2 linked regions of the Canis lupus familiaris genome follow. The protein of the gene in region 1 interacts with the protein of each later gene in a pairwise test. Links are inferred from orthologs where the notes say so. Each region holds a gene or a part of one and is shown on either strand. Other genes may lie near its edges. The genes, in order: EML1 and ISG20L2.

What was found.
Region 2: the proteins of EML1 (region 1) and ISG20L2 interact in binary tests that used the Homo sapiens proteins (3 or more experiments, as listed by UniProt). The two-hybrid records come from large-scale screens. The link is inferred for Canis lupus familiaris from reciprocal best matches to the Homo sapiens genes EML1 and ISG20L2.

Annotation. Positions count from the first base shown.
Region 1 is NC_049229.1:68,515,590-68,519,490, forward strand, and holds the start of EML1 (echinoderm microtubule-associated protein-like 1), read left to right. Parts: upstream 1-1,360; 5' UTR 1,361-1,393; coding exon 1,394-1,586; intron 1,587-3,901. UniProt on the Homo sapiens protein: Modulates the assembly and organization of the microtubule cytoskeleton, and probably plays a role in regulating the orientation of the mitotic spindle and the orientation of the plane of cell division.
Region 2 is NC_049228.1:41,238,859-41,242,759, reverse strand, and holds the start of ISG20L2 (interferon-stimulated 20 kDa exonuclease-like 2), read right to left. Parts: upstream 2,547-3,901; 5' UTR 2,505-2,546; intron 2,033-2,504; 5' UTR 1,916-2,032; coding exon 1,184-1,915; intron 1-1,183. Other genes in the region: protein RRNAD1, read left to right, coding at 2,845-3,187. UniProt on the Homo sapiens protein: 3'-> 5'-exoribonuclease involved in ribosome biogenesis in the processing of the 12S pre-rRNA. Displays a strong specificity for a 3'-end containing a free hydroxyl group.

The sequences.
Region 1 (3,901 bases):
CCTTATAGGGATTGAACTCCTTTGCTGTTACCTCTGACGGCTGGTCTCTGACGGCTGTTGTGGCTGCAGCTCTCCCCCACCCCGTCTCCAGAAGGCAGTTCCTTTGAAACATGGTAGCCTGGGCCCTCCTGTCTTCACACCCCCAAGGTCTCTGAGCTGGAAAGGCCTCAGTGCCTTTGAAGAGCGGCTGGATGCCTCTGATACTGTTCCACACCCCTCACATTTTCCTGAGGCTTGTGGACCCTCGAGCACCAGCATCTGCCCCCTCTTCCAAGAAGCCTCCCCTGACTTCCATAGCCCTTTCACAAATATCAGCCTCCTCTCCTTGGGATGATCGTGACCTCCTGCCCCTGCCGGGGATGCCTGCCAGTCTCCAATCAAGCTTTCCTGGTTCTTATCTATGCACCTGCTGGTCTCTTTTCCTGGAATGCCCTCTCTCCCCCTGAAAAAACTTTCAGATTCCTCACAGACATAACTCAAATGCCAGCTCTTCCAGGAAGCCCTCCAGTATTGGGGGATTCGGGTTGATGACCAGCTTCTCTCCTCTTTAAACCACTTCACTCCTTCTGCACCCTGCATGCAGACCCGGGTAGACCTCGAGTCCCGGAGTGGGGGGCCCAGTGACACCCAGTCCAGAGCTGACGCCCCTGGGAACGGAGCCCAGAGCCCTCTACTTGCCTCATTGCCCTAGTCTCTGGCCCAGGCCCTTGTGGGGACCCAGGAACAGGACTGGGTTACCTCTTAGGCAAGCACGCAGCAAGCGCATACTAAGTGCTTGCTGAGATGTGTCCTCCCAACCAATATTTCCTGAGTGCCCACTCTGTGCCCGACATGGGTCACACAGCTCCCCCAGGGAGTTCACCTCTGTCCCCGCACAGCACCCCCAACACACGTGGAGCGGTCGGCACCCAGGAGGTGCCCCGAAGTGGCTGCTCACGGTCTGCCAAACAAAAGCAAGGGCCACGCCTTCCTGTAGCCTTGGAGACAGACAGTCGGGCTCCAGAGTCTGGCTCTGGTCACACCCCTAACTGGCCGGGTGGCCTTGGGTGGGTCGCGGCTGGTCATGGAGAGCTGAGTGGGTGGACCAGCGTGGCAGCACCAGGCACGGACTCAGCGGGTGGCATCGCTCCGTCTTCTTCTCTAACGTCCAGAAAAGCCCCTGGTTGGCTGAGTGGAAGCATTCCCAGGGCGAGAGGCTCGGGCATTCTGGGGTCTCCAGGGCTGGGGCTGGGGGCCGGGGACTGACCAAGCACCCTGGGGTGCAGCAGTTACTCAGGCAACATTCCGAGGCTGCCCGGGAGAGGCCCAGGGCAGGGGAGGGCAGTGCCCAGATTTATCCACCAATCCGGCGGGCTCCTGGCTCTGGAGCACGTTCTTATCTGCCCGGCCCAGCATGGGGGGGCGGTGGGGGCCGCCGGGCCGGCTGGGGCGGGAGCTGCCTGGGGACTGGACGCGGAGCAGGCCCGGCAGCCCAAGCCCCACCAGGTGGGTGACGGCCACTGACGGCTCGGAGCGGCCCTGCGGGCTGGTGGCCGGCTGCCCGCCCATCCCCTGCACCATGTCGGACGGCGAGGGCCCCTCGGCCGGTGAGTGGCAGCGCTATATTTACCCGCCGCGGCTCCGGTTGCAGAGCCAAGGCTGCTGGTCGCTGAGGGCACCGGGCGCCCCCGCCCCGGGCTGCAGGCAGCTGTGGGCTGGACCCCCTTCTTTCTAGCCTGATGCCTGGAAGGGGGACCAGCCTCGCCAAGCCAAGTTCAGCCGCACCCCCCGTCTTCCCGACGGGGCTACACAGGAAGCTGTGCCTGCTGCAAACCCCTCCCGCTGCCAGCCGGGGAGTCCGGAGCCGACCCGCAGCGCAGGGGGCCGGACTGCGCCTGGGCCCCTCGGCGGGCCTGGGGTGCCACGGGCCTGGGGGAGCCTACGGCTTCCATCTGATTCCCCCAAACGTCTGAGACCTCTGGGGAGTTGAGCCCCGGCTCTGCCCGCACAAGGCCGCCTCTCCGTGAGCCCCCGGGTCCTCTAGGGTGGAAGCGGCCAGGGGCACGAAGGCAGAGGGGCGGCCAGATAACGGGGCCTGCCCACGTACCCTCTGCCCTCCCCGGGGCGAGGGGTTTGCTGGGGACTGGCAGGCCACCCTGGCTCCTACCGGTTGAAGGCGAGCTCTGGGAAGACGTCCCTCTGAGCTGGCAGTGGGTGGGGCAGGGGCTGCAGGCAGCCTAATCCAGGCTGCCCGGGTTCGAATCCCAATTCTTTCGTTTCTAGATTGGGTGATCGACCTTGGGCAAGCAGCTTAACTGCTCTGAAGCTCAGTATCCCCGGGTGAAAAAGGGGACAGTGGTAACAGTCCCTACCCCTCAGGTGCTTGTGCAGATTGCAGATTGTGATAAAGTGTGACAGCCTGATGTGCCGTGAACGCTCAGTGATGGCCCCGCGAAGCAGCAGGTGGAGGGTCCTGGGCAGGAGCCCAGGGGCACGGGAGCCTCCCTGTCTGGCCCCTCCAGTGGCGCCTTCTTTCCTAAGCCTCTGCCCATCTGGGGTCCCCTGGATTTCTTATCTGTCCTGCAGCCCCGTGGAGAATCCTGGGCATGTCAGGCAGTCCTGGGGGTCCCGGGGTGCTTATGATTGCTGGCAACGTGACACCCCCTGGCGTGGTGTCTGATGGACGGTCCTGGCGCCCGGGCCTGGCCAAGTCAGATTTGGAACAGAGTGTGTGTGCGTGTGTGTGTTGGGGAGGGGGACACCGACAAAACTGGCCTGACCTCACCCTCTTCCGCCAGGCGTCAGCAGTGCAGGCTGCCAAGAATTGTCCGCGGAGGAGCCGGTATGGGGGGGCGGGGGTGCCGCAGACAGGCCCTTTCTGGCTGGCTCTGCGCACACCTGACACGAACCCGGAATAGCTCTCTCCCTCCACCAGGGACACGGTCCTGCTTTTAGCAGCTTGTAAAACCACCCGCACGGAGCTGGGTATTTCAGGAAGGCCAGAACAATATTTAGCCCGCCGAGGCGATGGACTGGGTGCTGAGCGTGTGCATCTGCGTGTGTGTGTGTGTGTGTGTGTGTGTGTGTGTGTCCGGGAGGCTGGGAGGAGACACAGCCTTTACCTCCCCTTCGCTGCTTAGGAGAGGGTCAGCTGGGCTGGGGCCGGCAGGCATGGTCATGGCTCTGCCCACCCTGGCTGGGCAGGTCACCCCGGGCGAGCTCGGGACTTGGCTTCCCGCCTGTCAAATACCGTGGCCTGGTTTTCGTCTCTGCTGCGGATCATGGGAGGCAGGAGTGAAAGAACACCTGGGTGCAGGTGTGTGCGTGTTTGTTGGGGGGTGGTCTCCTGGAATGTGTCATCTGAAGTTCAAGACTTTCTAGGATTCCAACCCCACGACAGAGATTGGGTCCAGGAGGCTGCTGTGAAATATTTCTACCTATTTTCCGAAAGCTATCTCTGGACCTGTGTCTCCAGCGGGAAAGTTCGCCGCCGCCCCCACAAACCCCACCAGCCACCACCTGTGTGGCTGTGGGCGGGTTCCTGGAGGTCATGGTGCCTCAGTTTCCTTATCTGTTCCGTGGAGACAATAACAGGACACTAGCTCCTCAAGTCCCAATGAGGATTAAGTGATCAAAAGTGTGTAACCCGCTTAAAAGAACGCCAGGCTTCCTGTGAGCAAGTGTGACTGTTACTACTGTTCAACCAGTAAGTGAGCTGCAGCCGAAGAGGAAAATGAAGGGGACGAATTAGGTGTTGTGTCTTGTCCTGGCCACTTCAGGGACATCGCTTGATCCCTGGAGCGGGATACATGAACTTTGCTGTACAGCTGGGGAAACGGAAGCTCAGAGAGGCAAATAGACCCAGGTGGCCCAGCTGGTACATGGTAGAGTTAGGATTCGAACCCAGCTCCCCAGGCCCAAA
Region 2 (3,901 bases), on another chromosome or scaffold:
GCAACCAAAAAGACAACCAAGAATAAGGCACAAGCTCTCAAGGCCATTCCCCAAGAGGGCTCCAAACAGGTTGTGAACAAAAGCCACAGTCCTACAATCCATGCAGAGCCAGCAGGAACCCCCTGGAAGGGGCCAGACCATCTGAACGTACCCATCTCACACCCTGGCATGGGCACTGTGGAATCCATTTATGACGAAAACTCAATGGGAGCCCAACTGATGAGGTTCCTGCTTGCTCCTAACCGCACCTTCAGTTTACTGTCCACCAACACCTCTACTGTACATTAATTCACATCCAGCCCTCATTCAAGCTGCGCAGATTCGAGATCTCAGACCCATCCCACCTTCTGCCTCTCCCAGCCCTGCTCACTGGTGGCCTGTGGCACACCTCTCAAGTACTTTTATCTAAAACTCAGCACCTTTGCCTCTGATGAAGCGCCTCCAACTAACAGGGAGTGAAAAGAATTAGTGGAACAAAGCATGTCCCAAAAAGACTAAGAATGTGAAGTTGAAAAGACAAAAATACGGACCATGGGCGCCCTCTGGAGGCCTCCGAAGACCAGCTGGTTTCCCCTCCACCTCCTCCCTTTGCCTCCCAGGTTCGCCTTCCTTTTCCTGTCCTGTGATGCTCCCAGGGTCCAGCATGGGGCTACCACAAAGAAGTTTGCTCATGACTGAGGTGAGAGCCCGACACGCAACCCCTCCGCTTCAGGCTACCTGTCCCAAGAATACAAACCACCTAGCTCCTGCCACCAACACTTCCCACACTTGCTTGGGAACCCTCTCCACCTCTCTGTTCTCAACCCCAAACTACCCTCTCCACCTCTCTGTTCTCAACCCCAAACTACATCTCTACAAGGCACTCCCAAATCGAGCCCATTCCCTCGCCATTCACACCTGCTACTCTGCCCTGTGGTGCTCCTAGTCCTCTAGGTTCCTAGTTTCCCAGGTGATGATTCCTTTGGGGAGTTCAGGTCGGTCTCTGCTAACTCGCTTCAGCACAGCCGTTAGCTGTGTAACTTTCTGGGCCTTCACCATGCCTGCACCCTTCATCTGGCAGTCCACTCCCACTTCCCTCCTCCAAACTTCTTTGGCGCCTTCTAGGGCGATATCCTCTGCTGAAAAGGGATCTGCACCTCAGCGCAGCCACCTTGCTGCTCCTGTCGTACCCCATGCCTCTCACCTGGCCCCGTGCAACCTTGAAGGGTGTAGCATTCACCATGTGCTGCTTCCGGATGCCACTCCACCTAGTCCGGTAGTCCACGATGTGGCAGGGCGGAAGGATGTATTCGTCATAGAGCACATCTCCATGGTAGTTGACAATGCTACATCGAGCCAGGGAACTGACATGCCCCTTGGGTCCCGTGCCCACCATTTCACAGTCAATGGCCACCATCTTCTTCGGTGTTTTCTGGGTTGTTCCGGAGCACTTATTGTCTGAATGAGACTGGATGGAATTCTGTGGGGCATTCTTCTGAGTAGGATTCTTCTGGGGGCCCTTCTTGTGGGGGCGAGTTGGGTGGCTCCTAATCTTTGGAAGGGCACTCTGGAACTCCCCCAGCAAATCTACTTTAGCCAAAGCAGAGCCAGCCTTCTGTGAAGGGGCAGGTGTCAGCCACGGCACTGCAGTCTTCTTGTCCAGGGACTGCTCTGGTCCACTGCTGGAGGCAACGGCCTTCTTTTTTGGAAGGGGAGAAACCTTCCAAGTGCCATCCACCTTAGGAGTCTCCCCTTTCTTCATAGGTTCTGAATGTTGCTTTGGTGTCTTGCTCGGGGGCTGGTTCTTCTTATTCAGAAAGCCCCTCCGTTCCAAGAGCCGCCGCTTCTTGACGAATTTTCGATGCTTGGCATTCCCCTCTAAGGCTTTTTTAGGGGGAGGTTCCCCAAAATCCAGATTGAGAAGCAGGGTAGACATGAGGACAGTGGATGGCGGGAAAGCAGTTGGGAAGAGTGGCTTACTGATGACAGCACGACAGAGGACTCATCCTCTGCTGAATCCCACGGGCCCACATCTGGAGGTCTGTAGCACACCCTGGGAAAGAAAGGGAGCCTGATCACAGAGCCTTCAGGCCTGGGAAACAAGACCCGTCTGCGTGGGCTGCAGGTTGGAAAGGCATCCGAGCGACTGCCCAGAGTGGGAACGAATCTGTAACGTGGAGAGATGTCAGGGGCACCGTGTGAGCCAGGAGGGCCTCGGTTGTGGCGCGGCCCCATAATGCACCAGCTGTAGGGCCTGGGAAGGGTCACTGGCACTCTCCAGAGCTAGTCCCATTCGGAAGCGGAGCTGGAAAGCCGGAGCGGGGGCTGCATCGCCCGCCCGGGGAGAGCGGCTGAGCGCGCATGCCGGCAATCGGGGCCGGCCCCCGGGGCCGCCGGTCACCCTCCGCCGGCGCCGCGCCCCAGCCCTGCTCCCGAGACAGGCCCCCTGACCACATGTAGCCGCCCAGGGAACCCAGGCCGCGGGGGTCCCCGCCCAGGAGAGCGCCCCCGACGCTCACACCTACCTCCCGGCAGACGCCGCTACGAGCGGAAGCGCCCGGCGCCGGATGCGGAAGTGGGCGCCCGGCGGCGAGGCCCGGGCCGGCAGGCGCGCGGATTGGACCGCGTCGGGGGCCGGCGTGCGCGCGCCCGCAGCGCCCCCGCCTCCGGGAGGGAGGCCAGGGAGTCTGAGTGCGTGAGCAGCGGCAGGGGCGGCGGCGGCGGGGGCGGCGTGGGGGGCGGCGGGGGCGGGATGCGCTCCCCGGCCCCTCTGGCCCCGTGGAGGTACAACTCGAAGGTGGGACGGCCGCGCCCCGCGGGAAACGCCGCACGCGGGGCCAGCCTCACTTCCGGGGAAGGAGGGAAATGCGCGGGGAGGGGCGAGCCGGGACGCCGCGTCTCGCCTCTGTGACGTGCTGCGCGGTGCTCCGCCCCCCGGGGGCGCCCCCTCCGCGCGGCGTCGCGACCTGTGACGTCAGGGGCGCGTCCCGTCTTCCGCGCCTGCCGACTGCTAGGGAAGGGTCCCCGCGTGGGGACTGGCTCCGGCGCTCTCTCCGCTCAGCGCGCCCCGCTCCCGACGCCGCCGCCTGCCCCCGGGATGCCCGGCGTCTCGGCGCGCGGCCTCTCTCTGGAGCAGAGGAGGCAGCTGGCTGTGAACCTCACCCGCGTGCTGGCGCGCTACCGCTCCATCGTGGACGCCTACATCATCGTGAGGCCCGGGGGGTGTGGGCGGGTGCGCCCGGCGGGCGGAGAATCTGGGGCGCAGGCTTCCGACTTTCTTTTTTTTTTTTTTTTTATGATAGTCACAGAGAGAGAGAGGCAGAGACCTAGGCAGAGGGAGAAGCAGGCTCCATGCACCGGGAGCCCGATGTGGGATTCGATCCCGGGTCTCCAGAATCGCGCCCTGGGCCAAAGGCAGGCGCCAAACCGCTGCGCCACCCAGGGATCCCCGGCTTCCGGCTTTCTATGCGTCTCAGCCTAGTGTCTGTGCGAGAGAGGGTTAGAACCGTCTCCCGTCTCCCCCCGCCCCGTACCTGTTAACATTCCTAGTACACAGGTAGTTTTTCTTACCGTCCCAAGTCCACGGTCAAAGTGTGGACCACAGAGCCCTGCCGGGAACGTGCGAGGTGCTTCTTCACCCGAGCTTTGAGTCAATCCTTGGCTCATCAGTGTAGGGACAGTGAGAGCTCTGGAGGCCGACAGACCAGCTGCCTCCTTTACTGGGCCAGCCTTAGGCGTCTGAAGAAACTCCGCCTAGCCCGGGTTTCTCAGCTGCCGCAGTAATCCCCGTCGGAGGGCTCACCTGAAGAGTAAATGCACTGATGTATGAGTGGCACCAGCGTCCACTGACTGTCAGCCCCCAGACCCAGAAGCATCCTTGGTCCAGCTCTCTCCTTCATTGATGTACGTGCCGGCCCTTCCT